Linked DNA regions of Daphnia pulex. The protein of the gene in region 1 purifies or fractionates together with the protein of each later gene. This does not show direct contact. Links are inferred from orthologs where the notes say so. Each region holds a gene or a part of one and is shown on either strand. Other genes may lie near its edges.

What was found. The genes of interacting proteins can lie anywhere in the genome.
Region 2: the proteins of threonylcarbamoyladenosine tRNA methylthiotransferase-like (region 1) and MMS19 nucleotide excision repair protein homolog purify together in Homo sapiens (affinity purification with mass spectrometry; 4 studies listed by BioGRID and IntAct, counting the BioPlex papers as one, with this or other methods). This does not show direct contact. The link is inferred for Daphnia pulex from reciprocal best matches to the Homo sapiens genes CDKAL1 and MMS19.
Region 3: the proteins of threonylcarbamoyladenosine tRNA methylthiotransferase-like (region 1) and cytosolic iron-sulfur assembly component 2B-like purify together in Homo sapiens (affinity purification with mass spectrometry; 3 studies listed by BioGRID and IntAct, with this or other methods). This does not show direct contact. The link is inferred for Daphnia pulex from reciprocal best matches to the Homo sapiens genes CDKAL1 and CIAO2B.

Annotation. Positions count from the first base shown.
Region 1 is NC_060018.1:3,959,789-3,965,094, reverse strand, and holds threonylcarbamoyladenosine tRNA methylthiotransferase-like, read right to left. Parts: upstream 3,400-5,306; 5' UTR 3,273-3,399; exon of another isoform or gene 3,187-3,272; 5' UTR 3,137-3,186; coding exon 2,917-3,136; intron 2,855-2,916; coding exon 2,783-2,854; intron 2,723-2,782; coding exon 2,594-2,722; intron 2,535-2,593; coding exon 2,433-2,534; intron 2,370-2,432; coding exon 1,975-2,369; intron 1,916-1,974; coding exon 1,770-1,915; intron 1,701-1,769; coding exon 1,520-1,700; intron 1,447-1,519; coding exon 1,300-1,446; intron 1,236-1,299; coding exon 945-1,235; 3' UTR 664-944; downstream 1-663. Other genes in the region: uncharacterized protein LOC124188531, read right to left, coding at 4,103-5,306. UniProt on the Homo sapiens protein: Catalyzes the methylthiolation of N6-threonylcarbamoyladenosine (t(6)A), leading to the formation of 2-methylthio-N6-threonylcarbamoyladenosine (ms(2)t(6)A) at position 37 in tRNAs that read codons beginning with adenine.
Region 2 is NC_060026.1:4,197,998-4,203,447, reverse strand, and holds the start of MMS19 nucleotide excision repair protein homolog, read right to left. Parts: upstream 3,742-5,450; 5' UTR 3,699-3,741; coding exon 3,611-3,698; intron 3,429-3,610; coding exon 3,184-3,428; intron 3,128-3,183; coding exon 2,983-3,127; intron 2,913-2,982; coding exon 2,725-2,912; intron 2,657-2,724; coding exon 2,495-2,656; intron 2,429-2,494; coding exon 2,215-2,428; intron 2,155-2,214; coding exon 2,042-2,154; intron 1,964-2,041; coding exon 1,843-1,963; intron 1,780-1,842; coding exon 1,474-1,779; intron 1,418-1,473; coding exon 1,135-1,417; intron 1,073-1,134; coding exon 831-1,072; intron 764-830; coding exon 615-763; intron 543-614; coding exon 430-542; intron 372-429; coding exon 44-371; intron 1-43. Other genes in the region: glycerol-3-phosphate acyltransferase 3-like, read left to right, coding at 4,376-4,528, 4,590-4,937, 5,000-5,134, 5,252-5,329. UniProt on the Homo sapiens protein: Key component of the cytosolic iron-sulfur protein assembly (CIA) complex, a multiprotein complex that mediates the incorporation of iron-sulfur cluster into apoproteins specifically involved in DNA metabolism and genomic integrity.
Region 3 is NC_060019.1:10,899,931-10,903,779, reverse strand, and holds cytosolic iron-sulfur assembly component 2B-like, read right to left. Parts: upstream 2,206-3,849; 5' UTR 2,084-2,205; coding exon 1,960-2,083; intron 1,895-1,959; coding exon 1,815-1,894; intron 1,751-1,814; coding exon 1,478-1,750; 3' UTR 1,442-1,477; downstream 1-1,441. Other genes in the region: microsomal triglyceride transfer protein large subunit-like, read left to right, coding at 13-103, 189-346, 514-550, 634-788, 850-1,017, 1,077-1,248; sterol regulatory element-binding protein cleavage-activating protein-like, read left to right, coding at 2,690-3,849.

The DNA.
Region 1 (5,306 bases):
GGGGAGGGGGAGTTCATATCTGGAGCAGTAGAGGGAACACAGGCAGCACAGAGAATATTCCGATAACAGCCACACACACATACTGCACACGACCAACTCGAGTCAAAATAAAACGAACAAAACCTTTTTTTTTTTAAATCCAAAGATCCCGAAAACAATTTCCCGCAATGAAAAGAAAAACACACGAAACAAATGTTGGGTTCAATAAAATAAAATGTGAGACTTACACGGTGAATTGTGTGATGGAGTTGAAAGATCCACGGAGATGTGAACGTGCGGCTGACGCGGGCGACGGCGATGAACGACGACGACGGCCGCCATGAAATGAACGGCGTCTGCGCGGATTACACCTCCTCCTCTCCCTCCTCCCCCCTTCTCCACTTGAAAAAGAAAAACGGGGGAGCAGAATGCGACGCTTATGCGCATGAGCTTCCCTTCGTTACGCGCAGCAAGAAATTCAAAACAAAAAAATGTGTATAAAAATAGGACCCACCAAATATTCCGGACGACTTTTTTCTTTTCTTTTTCTCCTCCAATATCTTCTTCTAGCGGGTGGGTGAGGCCTTATCGCAACTGCAGTTCACTGCGATTATCTCTAACGGTATAAAGGACAAAAACAAAGTGGTCATTTCGACCATTGACCAAAGAGTAACACAGAGCAAATGAGGATGTGCCCGTGTATACTGTAAACGTCAAACACAGGCACGGCAGAAAAAGAAAGAGATAAGATTAAAGACTTTTGACACACTAAGTTGAGTTCATTTTGTTTCTTGTTGACCAGAAAGCAAAATTTAAAAAGAAAACATCCAAAGGGCAAAGAACCCTCCAGTGGCAAGGTCAGAAAGAGACTTAAACGCCACACAATTGCTGTACAAATAATAATAAGAATTTTGTATGAACCAGCAACGGAAAATGAGGAAATGGTGAAATTGCCGGTTGTTTCTTTATCGGCGTCCACGCCAGTAAAAAATCCAGGCCAATCTAAGACCAACGACGGCCGAAATGCCCAGAATAGGCCACAGTCTCCCACTCAAACTGCTGGATGCTACTGCACCAGGATTGCTACTGGTGTTGGAAGCTGCTAGTCCGGATATCTGGCCCTTTTCAAGGGCTTCTGGGACGTCTGGACGTTTAGGACTAGTCAGAGGTTCGCTCATTAACGAAAACTTGCTGGCAGAAGTTATGAGAACCTCTACCATTTTGCCCATGTAGTTTGGCTCCATCGGGACTAGCACCTTGATCCACGAATGAGTAAAATAATCAGTCATCGATAAGAAGAATGAGTTGGCATTTGTTTACCTGAACGTATTCCTTGTTGTGCCCAACGTAATAATTCTTATCGTGAGAGATGTCCGTAACCAGAACGGACTGCCGTTGACCAACTTGATTATCATATGGTTGATATGACTTGAATAATTCGCTAAGTCGTTTCGTTCGATTTTTCACCTGAACAATCATCAAATAAATAACATGATCTGTTAGTTGCATGACAAATTTAACTGCATGAGTAATTGCAAACCTGTTTAGTTGGAACGCGTTCCATGCGATAGGCGGGAGTGCCTACACGCGGGAAGAATTGATTAATGAATAAACTAGGGAAACGATGTTTGGAACAAAGTTCCATCGTCAAATCAAAATCTTGTTCCGTTTCGGTAGGGAATCCACAAATTATGTCGGTGGCGATTGAAATGCCTGGAACACTGTCGTAAAGAATTGTTTACATAAAGTTCGTTCATTCAAATCTAATAATTCAAATTTCAAAATGTTACCGCTCTCGAAGAAAATTTACGACCCTCTCAAAATCAGCTACGCAGTATTCTCGTTTCATGTCAGTGAGGACTGCATCACTGCCGGATTGAACGGGCAAGTGGAGGAAAGCGTAAACTCGGGGGTGGTTTAGAATTTCAGCGATCGCCTGCGCAACCAAATCATTAAAACTGCGCAAAGTATTTCAGGAAATTTAACGAGATTTACCTCAAGATGTTCAAGGATGTAAGGAGGATTGGTCATGCCTAACCGAAGCATGCATCCATCCGGAATAACTTGAACGAGTTGCCTCAAGAGTTCCGGCAATGAACTCCCAATGTCTCTTCCATAGGCGCCCGTGTCTTCGGATGTCAACCAAATCTCGCAAACACCTTCCTGGAAAGACTGGATAGCTCGGGCTACAATTTCTTCTGGTGGATAACTCCCCAATTCTCCGCGTGCGTGTTTGGTTTTACAATATGTGCACTGATTCAGACAGCCTGTGTTGATTGGGATGATTTCTATCAAAGGATTCTTTCGAATTTTTGGCAACAGCAACGAAGCTCCTCCAGTTTTTTTCTTCTCTGCGTCCTTTTTCGTGCCCAAAAGACGAACGGAATGGCCTAAGAATGGATTTACAATACAATTAGAATTACTGTTGCAAAGTGATTTCAAATGAACAAAACCTTTTAAAGTTTCCTCTACTACTTCAACTACTCTGTCTATTTGCTGAACCCCAATGATACTTAATCCTTGCAAGTAATTTGCTTTAGGTTGTCCCTGTGGAACTAAAAAACAATATCTTGATAAAGAGACCAAATAAAATTATGAGAATGACATAGCATACCACATCCAGCCACAACAACTGGAGTGCCTCTGGCTCTCCCATCATCAATTTCATTTTTGAAGTGGTCCTCTGCAGGTGTTTTAACAGTGCACGAATTGAGAAGCCACAAATCTGCCTCATATTTTTCATCTAAAAATTCAATGTTTATTATTTAGCATAAAACGATTTTTTTTTTACAATGTTATTTACCGGTTAATGAATATCCGTAAGCAGCCAGCTGTCCTGCCATGTACTCAGAATCAGAATTATTGTGAGCGCAGCCTGGACAGAAACCGAGGGAAATAAGTTAATAGGTTGTTTCACGAAATGATCAGTTCACTCACCCCATGTTTTAACCCAAATTTTTTGGGTGCCAGGAATAATGCTGCCATTCTCCTCCACTTTGGGGATAACTTTATTGGACTTGGCAGGATCTTTGTTGTTGGGAGTTTTTTTCACTCGTTTCCCAACAGCATTAGATCTTGCTACAGATCTTTCTAATGCAGTTAAATCTCCTTCTCCTACAATGTCTTCGATATCGTCCAAAACATCATCGGCTGACATGTTCGATGTTGAAAGGCTACACTGGATTGCAAAAGACCTCAAAGTAAAAACTAAAACCAAATGGATAAAGCTCTCTATTGCATGAAAATCAGATTTGAGTATAGCTTGCACACAAGTTTAACAAATTACTTTATACCTATAAGTGCTACAACTTAAAACAAAATTAATGCAAAATCTTTTGAATTAACAGATTTCGCTTCTGTTATTCGTTCCAAATTCTAAACGTGTAATTTTGAGCAGACGACCACGTGAGCTCATACTACTTCACGACAGAGAAATAAAGCCTCTTCTAGTCCCATTCGAAATCCTGTTTCATCTTTTTTAATTCTTAATTCTTTTTCTTATAAATCAATCAGAAATTCAGAAAGAAGTTTTTTTTACCGAGAATCAGTCTCACGCTTTCAAATGTTCATGGTTGTTTCCAACTGGGTTTCAAAACAATAGTAATTGAAAACAAGATCGTTTAGTTGCTTTTTGTATTGTGAATTTGCGACTTTTTGTATTCTAGAATCTACCCGAAATTTTGAATCGAGATGAGATGTTCTAGTAGACTGAAGAAAGAAGGGGAAAGATAGAGAGAAAAGTCCACCCAAAAACTTATTTTTAATGAGAGTTTAGTTGCATGTAAAAAAAGGGATAGGGAATATTAAAGTACTAATTTTAAATTTTTGAGTATCACCAAGACGCAGTTTAAAGGCGTGGCGGATGGAAAGGCAATCATACAAAACAATTACAATTTCAAAAAATAAACAACTCAAAAATAGAACAAAAAGAATTGACAAAAATTTTCAAAACGACCAAATTTTCTAACATTTGTCGAATGCCAATAATTCACTTCTAATAATTCACACTAAATATTATTTCCCTGAAATCCGAGATCCTTGATACATTTTGATTGTCGTTTTATTTCTTCTACTAAAATCTTTTTATTAATTTTCTATTGGCATTGTTTATTTACGCACTTCTTTATTTAAAGGTAATCATGTTGTTTGTATTCAGGTTGCTGGAATCCAAAACTTCTTGCTTGATCCACTCATTGGGAAATTCAGGATCATCCGATTTCATTTCGACTTCACTTCCCGTTCCCAACTTGGAACCCAAATTTTCTCGGTTGGTGGTGGAAATATGTTGCCAATCTTGACTTCGACGTTGATCTTTCGTGGGCGTACGTTCGTTCGTGAGACTCAAAAAAGCTGCTTCCTTGGCCAGTCGATAATCGTCAGGATTCTGATCTGCGGCATTGGGTTTACTACCACTGTTGTAGTAATGATGGTGATGATGGTGATGTTGCTGGATTGAAGGTTGAGGTGATGTTTGTTGTACTGCTGCAAGTGGTAATAGAGGTGACTGTCGTGCGACGGCGGAAGGCGAAGGCGTCAGAAGACGTCGATTCGAAAAAATTATGTTCCTATTGGGAAGTCCATCGGAAGACATGAAGTGGAATTCAGTTTTCTTCATTTCTGGTGAATCGATAACTGATTCTTCCATTATTGGATGAATACTCAAATTTAACGGTTCGTTGGTTAGAAGATTGTGCTGTTGTTGCTGCTGTTGTTGCCGATTGTGTTGTTCTTCTTGTTGTTGCGACGCTGCAGAAGGTTGCGAGAGACCATCTCGCGGCTGTTGTTGCTGAAGTCGGATAACGGATGAAGCGTGAATGCCGTCCAGAGGAGATTCCGGTCGATGAGGTTCGTACGGTTGTAAACAGGCGAAGCATTGAGTGGCTCCGGTTTTGGCATCAATTAATCGGGCGCAGTCGTAGGATCGATAGCGATAATCCGGCAAAGTGAAATAATTCTGCCCGGCCAATCCTTGCTCCAAGGCCTCCTTCGGATGGAATTGGTGGACACGTTTGAGAACGCTGCCACGTCCGTGGCAAACGGTGGCGCCTCCATTGAGAGAATCCAAAAGCGGCTTGACGAGACTCGGATCAATTCCACCGGAAGTGAGAGAGCGGAAAGTTCCAGAGCGTACACAGTGGCCCAATACTTCGAACCAATAGGATAAATGGCGATCGACGAGGAGTCGCATTAAATGCGTTCGATAACCAAATGATGGAACGCGGAAAGTAGCAAACGAAGGTGGTTTAATTTCCAACCAGATATCGCCTCGATCATCGGCGTATTCCAAACACGATAGGCCGCAGGATCGCACCATAGATAGCAAAGCA
Region 2 (5,450 bases), on another chromosome or scaffold:
AGTATAAAATTTACAAGCGTGAAGGAACAAAGGTAGATCTTACCATGTTAATGCCGTCTTTGGCAAGGGTGAGTAATCTGGGCACGAGACTGCTGATGTACTCTTCGATGGCACTGACATTGTCGGACATGAGACCCATGAACGCGTTGATGGTAGAAATAATTAGCTGAGCTGGTTGGTCTGTGCTCAGACACTGGATCAGCAGTGGGATGAGTGTGGTTATGTGGGCAATTAAAACACCCTCCGGAATGAAGGCTAGTTGATTGGCGATGGCGGCGAAGCAAGCTGCTTTGTTGCACGACTCGGACTCTCGATACAGTTTCAACAAGCGAGGTACAACTTCTTGAAAAAACCTCTGTCGGTACATTAACCTAAGAATTTAATCAATAAGGAAATGTTCGTACAACTAAATGGAAAACGTTAAAAAACCTGATGTTGGCATGACAATTGAAATTCAGGCATTCCTCGGTTTCACACAAAATCGTTTTAAATCCTTCTGCCACTAGGTACCCGTGCGTGGGATCGTTCAACGAATCAACTAACTGCAAAGAAAAAGGTAATTCGTTAATACAGGTCATGGCGCATGCTGTTACGTCTGTAATCCAATCGCATACTTCTTGGATATACTGATTAAGCTTGGAATAAGATCTCATCAGCAGAGCTTTAGTTATCCAAACAAACAGGCAAACAGAATTGCATCGGTCTGTAGATGGATCCTGCCATTTGCGCCGCAACGAATCGAGTATAGCTTCCAGTTCATGCCCTTAAACATAGCAGGTAATGGTTAACGTTGATGGTTTTGACTTTATAATAGATCCTATAAATTTTACCTTCAGGAAGTTTGTTGACCAGAGCGGCTATTAGCCGACAGGCAGACAGTCTGACGTCGGCTTTTGGATGACAAACAGTAATGGGTTCTAGTGTGTTAACTAGTCGTTCAAGACTGTGTCCGCTAGGTGTGGCATCCAATGATCCCAATGTCGCTTCCATTATGGACAACGTCCACGGAGAACGAGCAAGATGTTGACCTACGTATTGTTCGGTTTGTTCGTTGATGAATTCCGTGGCTTTCCTGTACAATGCCGAGAAGATTACAAAAACATTTCTTCCAACATTTTGATCTAATAGAATTACGCGGAAGATAAACTGGAAGCCAGATTTCTCAATAAAACACAAGTGGCTTGGAGTGACGCCGGAGGATCTCCATCTTCCAATGTTTTCAATCCCCAGCGGTGCAATTGCTGGAATATTTCTAGTTCGTCCCTTTGTGCGAAATGAGTCAAAACTTTGAGTACTTCAAGTCGTAATTCCAGTTCGGGTTGTTCGAGCACGGTCATTAGTCGGGATACCACCTGCGCACGAATCTGGGACAACGTCGGTAGAGTTGATAACACAAGAAAAACCGCATTGGCTTTGCCTAAACAACCAACAGATAACCTCTTTCCGTATTTTAATTGGTAAAATTCAAATTACCTGAGACGGCTATATCTAACAGCTTAACCAAGACTTGCTCAAGGAACAAGTTTTCATTCTTCTCTGCGCTTTTGCAAAAGAAATGACCAATCTCTGCAATAACGCTATCGGTGGCTGTTGATTTCTGGAGTAAATCTAAAAGTGTTCCATTGACCTTTTCCAAGTCTTGGTGGTTCAAACAGGTGCCAATTAAATGGCTCAATCCTTGCAGACTTAGATTGCGAAGAACTGCGTCATCCTCTTGTAAGACCTCAAGGTACAGCTCTAACAATTTTGGTATCAGAGAAGCTACACCACTTTGAGCAACTGTAAAATATAACCAAAGATATGAAAATGTTTCTAATTTTAATAATTTTTAAAATGTGGTACCGTTTGCTTCAGTGAAACCATAGAGACCAGCATGTACCATTTTGTTCAAACTATTAAGGATGAACTGACGTGGATTTGACTGTGGCCTGATCCTGTACTGGTCCATCAAAAGGGGAATGACCTATTTAGAGAAATGGGTTTCTGTTAAGTAGATTTTAAAAAAAATGTTTGTAGTTCTATAAGAGAATAAGAATAATACCTGGCTAACAATTAATGCACACGCGGGCGCACTTCCCGAGCATATCGCTAGCAAAATGTAGCTGCTCGGAGTCATTAATCGCCGTTCCGGTTCACACAAGTGCCCCTGACATTCTATTAATATACAATCTACAGTTAAATATACTCTTAAACGAATATTTGCTACACATTTACCGGTCAGCACATTTTTTAGTAATTTGGTAAAAGCTGGACTGTTAAATTCTCCGTCTGTTGTAAAAGCTCGGGATAAAGCGGCAAGAGCATCAAGTGAGGCATGTTCAAGATCGTCGGTATTGACATTGATCAAGACTTCTCTACGTATACTCGTCCAGAAAGAGTCCACCCATTTTTCAAGTTGGCCTGGTTGATACGTCTGACAGCAGAGTTCCTGCAAACAGTCGAAAATTACAATAGAATTGAAGCATAAAGACTAAATATAGAAGGGGAAAATTACCAAGGTTTTTAAGGCTTCTACTTTAGCTGAAACCAAGTCAGATTCCAATTTCTCTTGCAGTAACGGCAAACAATACTCTGCGAAATGAGGGCTACCGGCAAGGCACTGTCGTAATCCATCACAGAGCTGTTCTTTAGTTACTGCATAAGGATCATTAGCTGGCTATTCAAAATAAGAGTATTAGGATTTACTGACATGTAGCAATAAACTGAAAATTTCAAGAGACTTACAGGGGTGAAATCGATAGGGAAGTAGCAACTAAAAACTTCGAAAAACTCTTCTGTAAACGGCTCGAATCTGAAGTAACGAGCAACTACAGGGAAAACACTGAAGAGAATCAACAAGTTACGTGGGTCTCTTTCTTGATCAGCTAACTGGATGAGACCAAAAACAAAATCTTGGCCTAGGTCTTGTAATTCTGTAAGTTTAAAAATAAAATTTAGAAAATACTAACACAGCATATATATTTAGAAATTTATAATTTAGACCTTTTAGATGAAAAGCCAAGAGGTTTTTCACTGTTTTGTAAATTGCTCTTCTGTCATGCTGCAATTGTGATTGACAATGAACATCTTGAAAAATGCTCTGGGATATCAATCTGGCCAATCCAGGGGAAAGCTTAGGTGCTGTGCTCTATGACAAGGTATTAAATTTAACACTTTTGTATTGAATAGTATTTTTTTTCATACCAAAGCATGGAGGCCTTGCAGTGCGGCAGGTAGTATTGAATGATGATCTTTTAGCTTGCTACAGAAGAACTCTGTTACAAGTTCTACTTCCTTTTCATTTAGTCCCTTCAATTCAGGCCCCAACTGTTCCAAGATTGTGCCAATAGTTGACACTGCTTTGCATCGGTGAGTATTTTGTTGATTCAGTAAATCTGGTTGCAAATCTTCAACTAGCTTGAGAATTGTTAATTCTTTTGATGCAATTGCTGAAAAATTAAACAAAGTCATTGATGTTAACTTGTTAAAATTATTAAACATTTTCTACACATATGTTTTAAATCTGGCGCGCTCATGATGGACACGTGTTTTTCCTTCTTTTTTTCTAATTTCGAACACTTGAGCGGAGTACGAAAAAATGTTTCTTTCAGTTATAATTATAAAAACTTACATTGACTAATACAGCGAATAGATTCATTCGCGGATTCTTCTGAATTAAACGAATCTCTGAGTTTGTGAATCGCAGTCGAGATCGCCATGTTTACTGTTTACCTCTGCCCTGATTATGTAAACGTCATCTGCTTTTAAATGACACATGGTTGCCTACCTCTCACATTCTTCTTTTCATGAACTGATTATTCATCGAATATATAATTTTGTCACAGATTATGTAATTGTAAACAAGCAACAGACTTTTGTAACAAATTTCGTAATTAAATATTGAATAACCGCATTCCAACATGTTTTGAAATAGCTTCCGTGAACGGAGGAAAATATCACCCAGGTTTTGTATTTTCTAGATTTTTCATTACGCATTGGAAAAAAAACAGATGGGTGGAGACTTCCAAAGTAAACTTTTATGTGATTCCGATAAATCGTGCTGGTAAGCATGGGAGGACTAGAAAAAGATAATTAATCGCGTCAAGGTCGCACGCGCAACGCATAGAACCAATAGACAGACGTATTTTTGAAGTCAGTTGTAGCCTGAACGTCCCATTATAAACGAGAGTCCCAAAACGTCTGTCGTAGCAGTCTTTTAGTAGACTACGTTACGCGAATTCCACTCACGCACAACAACTCAAATCGGCATTTCTCTTGTCAACCTTGAAATCTCTCTCTTCCACCACTTCCTTTAACGTGGTCCCGACATCTGTTGCCTTGGTGTTCGACAACGACAGCAACTTCTTGAACTGGAGCTCCCACCAACAATATTACAATGGGGCTCGAAAATTTAATTCTTTTGCTAGTACTTAGTATAATTTTTATGCCTGTTATCCTGGTAATTGGTTGCTTGGTGCTAGTGATGACATGCAACTGGTCAAGGAATTTCCGATCAGGATATGTTAAACTACTATTGAAGGTCTTTCAGGTAATATGTCTTATTCTTAGTATTTGAGTTTTCGTAATGCTCATAATCTTTTTTATACTAGTATGGAACTGGTAGGATAGAAATTGCTGAGCAGCAAAAGAAACTAGAGACCAATAAAGGAAAGAATGGCTATGCAAATGGAAATGTTGTGGAAGCAGTGGAACAAGCTGAGGACAAATTATCAACTGGACATGCCATTATAAAATCTTCAGCAATGTCCAAGGAAGATCTAGTACTTTTACCTAATGGAAACTCATCTCCAAAGACACCCTCCATCCCCAAAAACAGATCATTTAACAGTTTGAATAATGATTTTATTCTATCTGACTGCCTTGACTTTGTTCATGCGGGGGTGGAAGCAATCATTGAGGACGAAGTTACAGGAAGATTTGTAGCTGAAGAACTAAAGGTACTCAAATCTCACCTACCAATTTGGTTCACAGTATCTAACATTAAATTTGTACTTCCCAGTCTTGGAATCTTCTTACTCGCACAAACCGCCACTATGAGTTCATCAGTGTTCGCCTTACTATTACTTGGATTTTGGGTTTCTTTGTACGCTACTTCATTCTTCTACCAAGCAGAGTTACAATTTGCTTTTTAGCTGTAAGTATACTTCAAAATGTGTTCTTTGTCAATTATTTTGTTAGTATTATTTTAACTATATTATTGCAATTGTAATGAAATTATTCATTTGTCTTTGATTGATGTGATTTTCTATAGGTTATTTGGTTAACTTTGTGCACAGGACTGGTTGGCTTCCTAAATGAAGGTCCCATGAAAAGAGCCATTTATGAGAAGGTATAAACTCCAAATTCTCTTTTTACCCCGTTCAGTTATCGAATTTGACCTCGTGTAGATAACTGTAGAACTCCCGATGGTTCGAATAGGACAAAGTTCGAATCAACATTTGCTCCGTTTA
Region 3 (3,849 bases), on another chromosome or scaffold:
TTATTATTCTAGTTCTTCCACTGAAGCGGCAAACAAAATGATGAAACGCGCCGCTTTTGATGTTTATTTGCGAAACCCCGAAGACACTTTTCAGCTACTCTCGGTATAATTTTGTGAATTGTTATCCACAATATATAAGAAACTAAAATATTTCAAACATCAACTTATAATGGTATGGTAACAAATAGGTCGGACTTTTTACCGGTGGAATGGGTTCTTTGATGGGTTTTTCTACTGAAGGTGACGAAGAAGAACCTACAGCAGGCATGGAAGTCACACTTGCTGGTGTCCAGCTAAGACCTGTTATTTTCTTCTCGGGTCAAAGCGAGCTAATGGGCCATGTCTGGTAAGTGTATATATTTTACTATATTCCATGCTGTTTTGGCAGGTAAACAAAACTAAAAATGCAAATGGAATGCTTATTGGACCTTGAAAAGAAGAGTTTAACCTGGTCCAAATTAGTAAAATTCTAGTAACATAGAACTAATACCATTTGTCATTGCCAATGTCCAGGTCTGGCACAGCATCTGAAAGAACCACAGCCCTACAGGTAGATTACATTTTGTTTTTCAGAGTTTTAAGTATACAGAAACTAAATTCGGTATTGACATTTCTATTGACATTCATAAACAGGCTACTGTGCTGCTTCAGGATTATCGTAATGTCGTACCACTCCAAAGTGGTTTTGTTACTACACTCGACGTGCGTGGTTCTGTCTCTTTTGATTTTGGTGGCGAAATCCAAATCAGTATTTGGAACAGAAATTCTCATTCAGTTGTCGAAGATATGTAAGTCAATTTACAGACTGGATTTCTGATCATAATGATAAAACTCATATTTTCATTTCAGCGCTGCATGGGAGCTAGAGGGGTCATTAAATTTAAACACGCCGTTTGTTAAATCATCTGTTGATTTCACTGTGGGTGCTGAATCTCGGGTCGATTTCGTCAATGATGTTAGCTTTGCTAACGGAATTCTTTTATGCTTGCGTATGGGCCAAGCTGAATTCAACATAGAGTGAGTGTCACAATTATTTTTTCAGCGTCGAACTAACTTAACATCCCTGTGTTGTTTAGTTACACTGTGCAGAAGCGCGAAAGCATTCCGGGAACTAAGCACTGGATTCACAAAAAGAAGAAACGCCAAGATTTCGTCCCAGGTCGCACGTTCAAACTGAATGACCAGAATTCTGGCTTCTGCAATGAAATGTTCCCTGCAGTTGAGAGTACTGGATCATCTTATTTTTAAAAGCAATGTGTTTTTCTTTTTGTTTTTAGGTAAATATTTTAAATGACATAATTGGGGTCCAAAGATGCTCAAATGAAGCAAAGTGGTTTAAAGTAGTTTACAACTTTCATGGTTCTAATTGAATGTAAATGAACAGGGACAATGTAAAGTAATTGTCACTGAATAGATTTGAATGTGTTCCATCAAAATAAACTGCATTTTCATCCATAATGTATTGATCAAATGGTTATTATTCCAAACTTTTTACTAAGCATTGATTAACAACTTCAAGTAGATTGCTGTTTTCCAAAGCGGCTGAGACTCTTTCTTTGTCAGCTAGCTGTTTATTAACAGCTTCCTCTGAAGCATGTGAACCTGGGGAAATGTTTACTTCAACTTTGAACCTAGGTGGTAGAGACCTGAGAAGACACACTTTGATGGACAGTCCTATTAAAGTTGCCATGCTGCAATGAGGGATTGTTGGAGTGTAAAAGACTTTAACACTGCTTTTTTTGTCATCAACCTGTACATACATAAAGGAAATAGAGGTAATGATTTTGTGTGAAATCAGACATTTCATATTTTACTTCTATATTCGTGATTTGTACAACATTCAGTTCTTCAAGTGACATAGGATGCTCAGGATCATTGATATCCCTTAGCAAATCTATAATTATGGAGAGATAAGCGAATTTGTTTAATGATGTATTACGCAAGTGCGAAAGTCTTTACCGAATATTTCCCTCTCATCTATGGGATCCTCTACTGATTCATCTTCTTCTTCACTTGTTATTTCTCTTTTTGTCTTCTTCGTAAATAACTGTGGATTCACATTTTCGATCCCTTTGGAAGTCATTCTTACAATTCAACACTTTGACAAGTTTATCCGACTAATAACGAACGCAATCGCGAAACGAATAACATGCGAATAACTACAAGTAAACAGAACTAGTAACGGCATCTAGCGATACCGATAAATGTTTAGTTGTGTGCGCGGCGGCGGCTGAGTGAACTATTGCGGAATCGGCAATATTTAAAACTAAATAACTTAATAACCATAAAACATATTGGCAAACGAATTTTACTAATTTAACTATTTTTGTAAACAAATTTTAGGACAACTCTGGTAGGTACTGTATTATTTCTTTTCTTGTTTAATTCCACCACCACGTTACAATTTTCTGCACTAGACGCTCCAGTTGTGTCAAGGCATTGATCTTTAGTTGACATGTTTTTCTTTTTTGGGCATTTTCGACAGGTAAATAGAGATTAAAATTGAATCTGCAGCCGGTTTTAAATTAAAAAATCTCTTATTATATTGATTTTCTTGTTTAGGAGAAACGTTTGCTCTCGGAGGTCATTCCCAATATTGCCAATACTGGAAAGTGTGGCGAAATGTCGTGAAATTTATTCACTATTCGTCGTCTACAGTTTGTTTTAATATTTTTGGACTTACTCAAACATGCCTTTTGTTGAGCCACAAATTGGTCATCATCCCGCCGTCAAAGATGTTGATTCGGCTGGACTTGCTAATGGAAGTGGACTGAATTCAAGCACCAAAGGCCTGAGTATACCCGACAGGGTAGCACTCCTCTACTACAAACATGGCCTTCTGTGTTCTAGCTACCCCTGGTGCACAATCATAGTGGCAATTATTATTGTTCTCACTTCGTGTCATCCTTTATTGTCCTTGCCTTTTCCAGGCAATGAACCAGAGGAGATATCTTTCCCGCTTCCAGAGAAAAGAATCTCTTCTGATCTTGAATTTGGAAAAAGCTTTCAGTATCCAACCAGATGGGGAACTCAGCAACCATCTTTTTTCATACAACAAATAGTTGTACGGTCCTCTGTCAATCCATGGACGTCTGATTTGGGCATGATGGATGCTTTTCGAGGCCCATTGAGTGAAGTCTTCAAGCTGCATTCTGATGTAGTGGGTTTCCATTCACCTAGGAGTAACCTGACTCTTAGAGATGTTTGCCTTTACGTGGAGAGTGTGGCCCCTAGAGCTCGTTCGTTTCAACATCTTCTACCCGAATTCAGCTGCATCATTTTGTCGCCGGCCAATTTGTGGAAGCTGGACGAAAATACCTTCCGCAACGACGCTCAGTTCTTAGACACCATATTTTCTTTCAAGAACCCAGTGGTAGAAGTGCGATCAAGTATGGCCGACATACTTTACGGCGTCCCGCTCAAAAATAGTGGATTGAAAAAATTCCCAGTCAAGACTCGTTCTCGCGTCCTTACGTACGCTATCACAATCTTACTTAAAACTCATTCTGAACCGTTTCTTTATGACTTGCGGTTAAAGCTCCGCAATCAATTTCCTCTCCACTCCACCACTCAAGAATCCACATCATCTCGACGCACCATCGTTCACATTTACTATCCCGAACGTTTCAATTATTTGGAGCTCATCCCGCTGACTTTTGTCTACTTAATCCTGTTCCTGTACATTTACTTCTCTGTTCGCAAGATCGAAATGGTTAAATCCAAGTTTGGCATGGCTTTCAGCGCCGTAGTGACAGTGGTAGCATCGCTGGGCATGTCGGTCGGCCTGTGCACGTGGTTCGGATTGCGCTTCACTCTTCAGGGACGAGACATTTTCCCTTATTTAGTGGT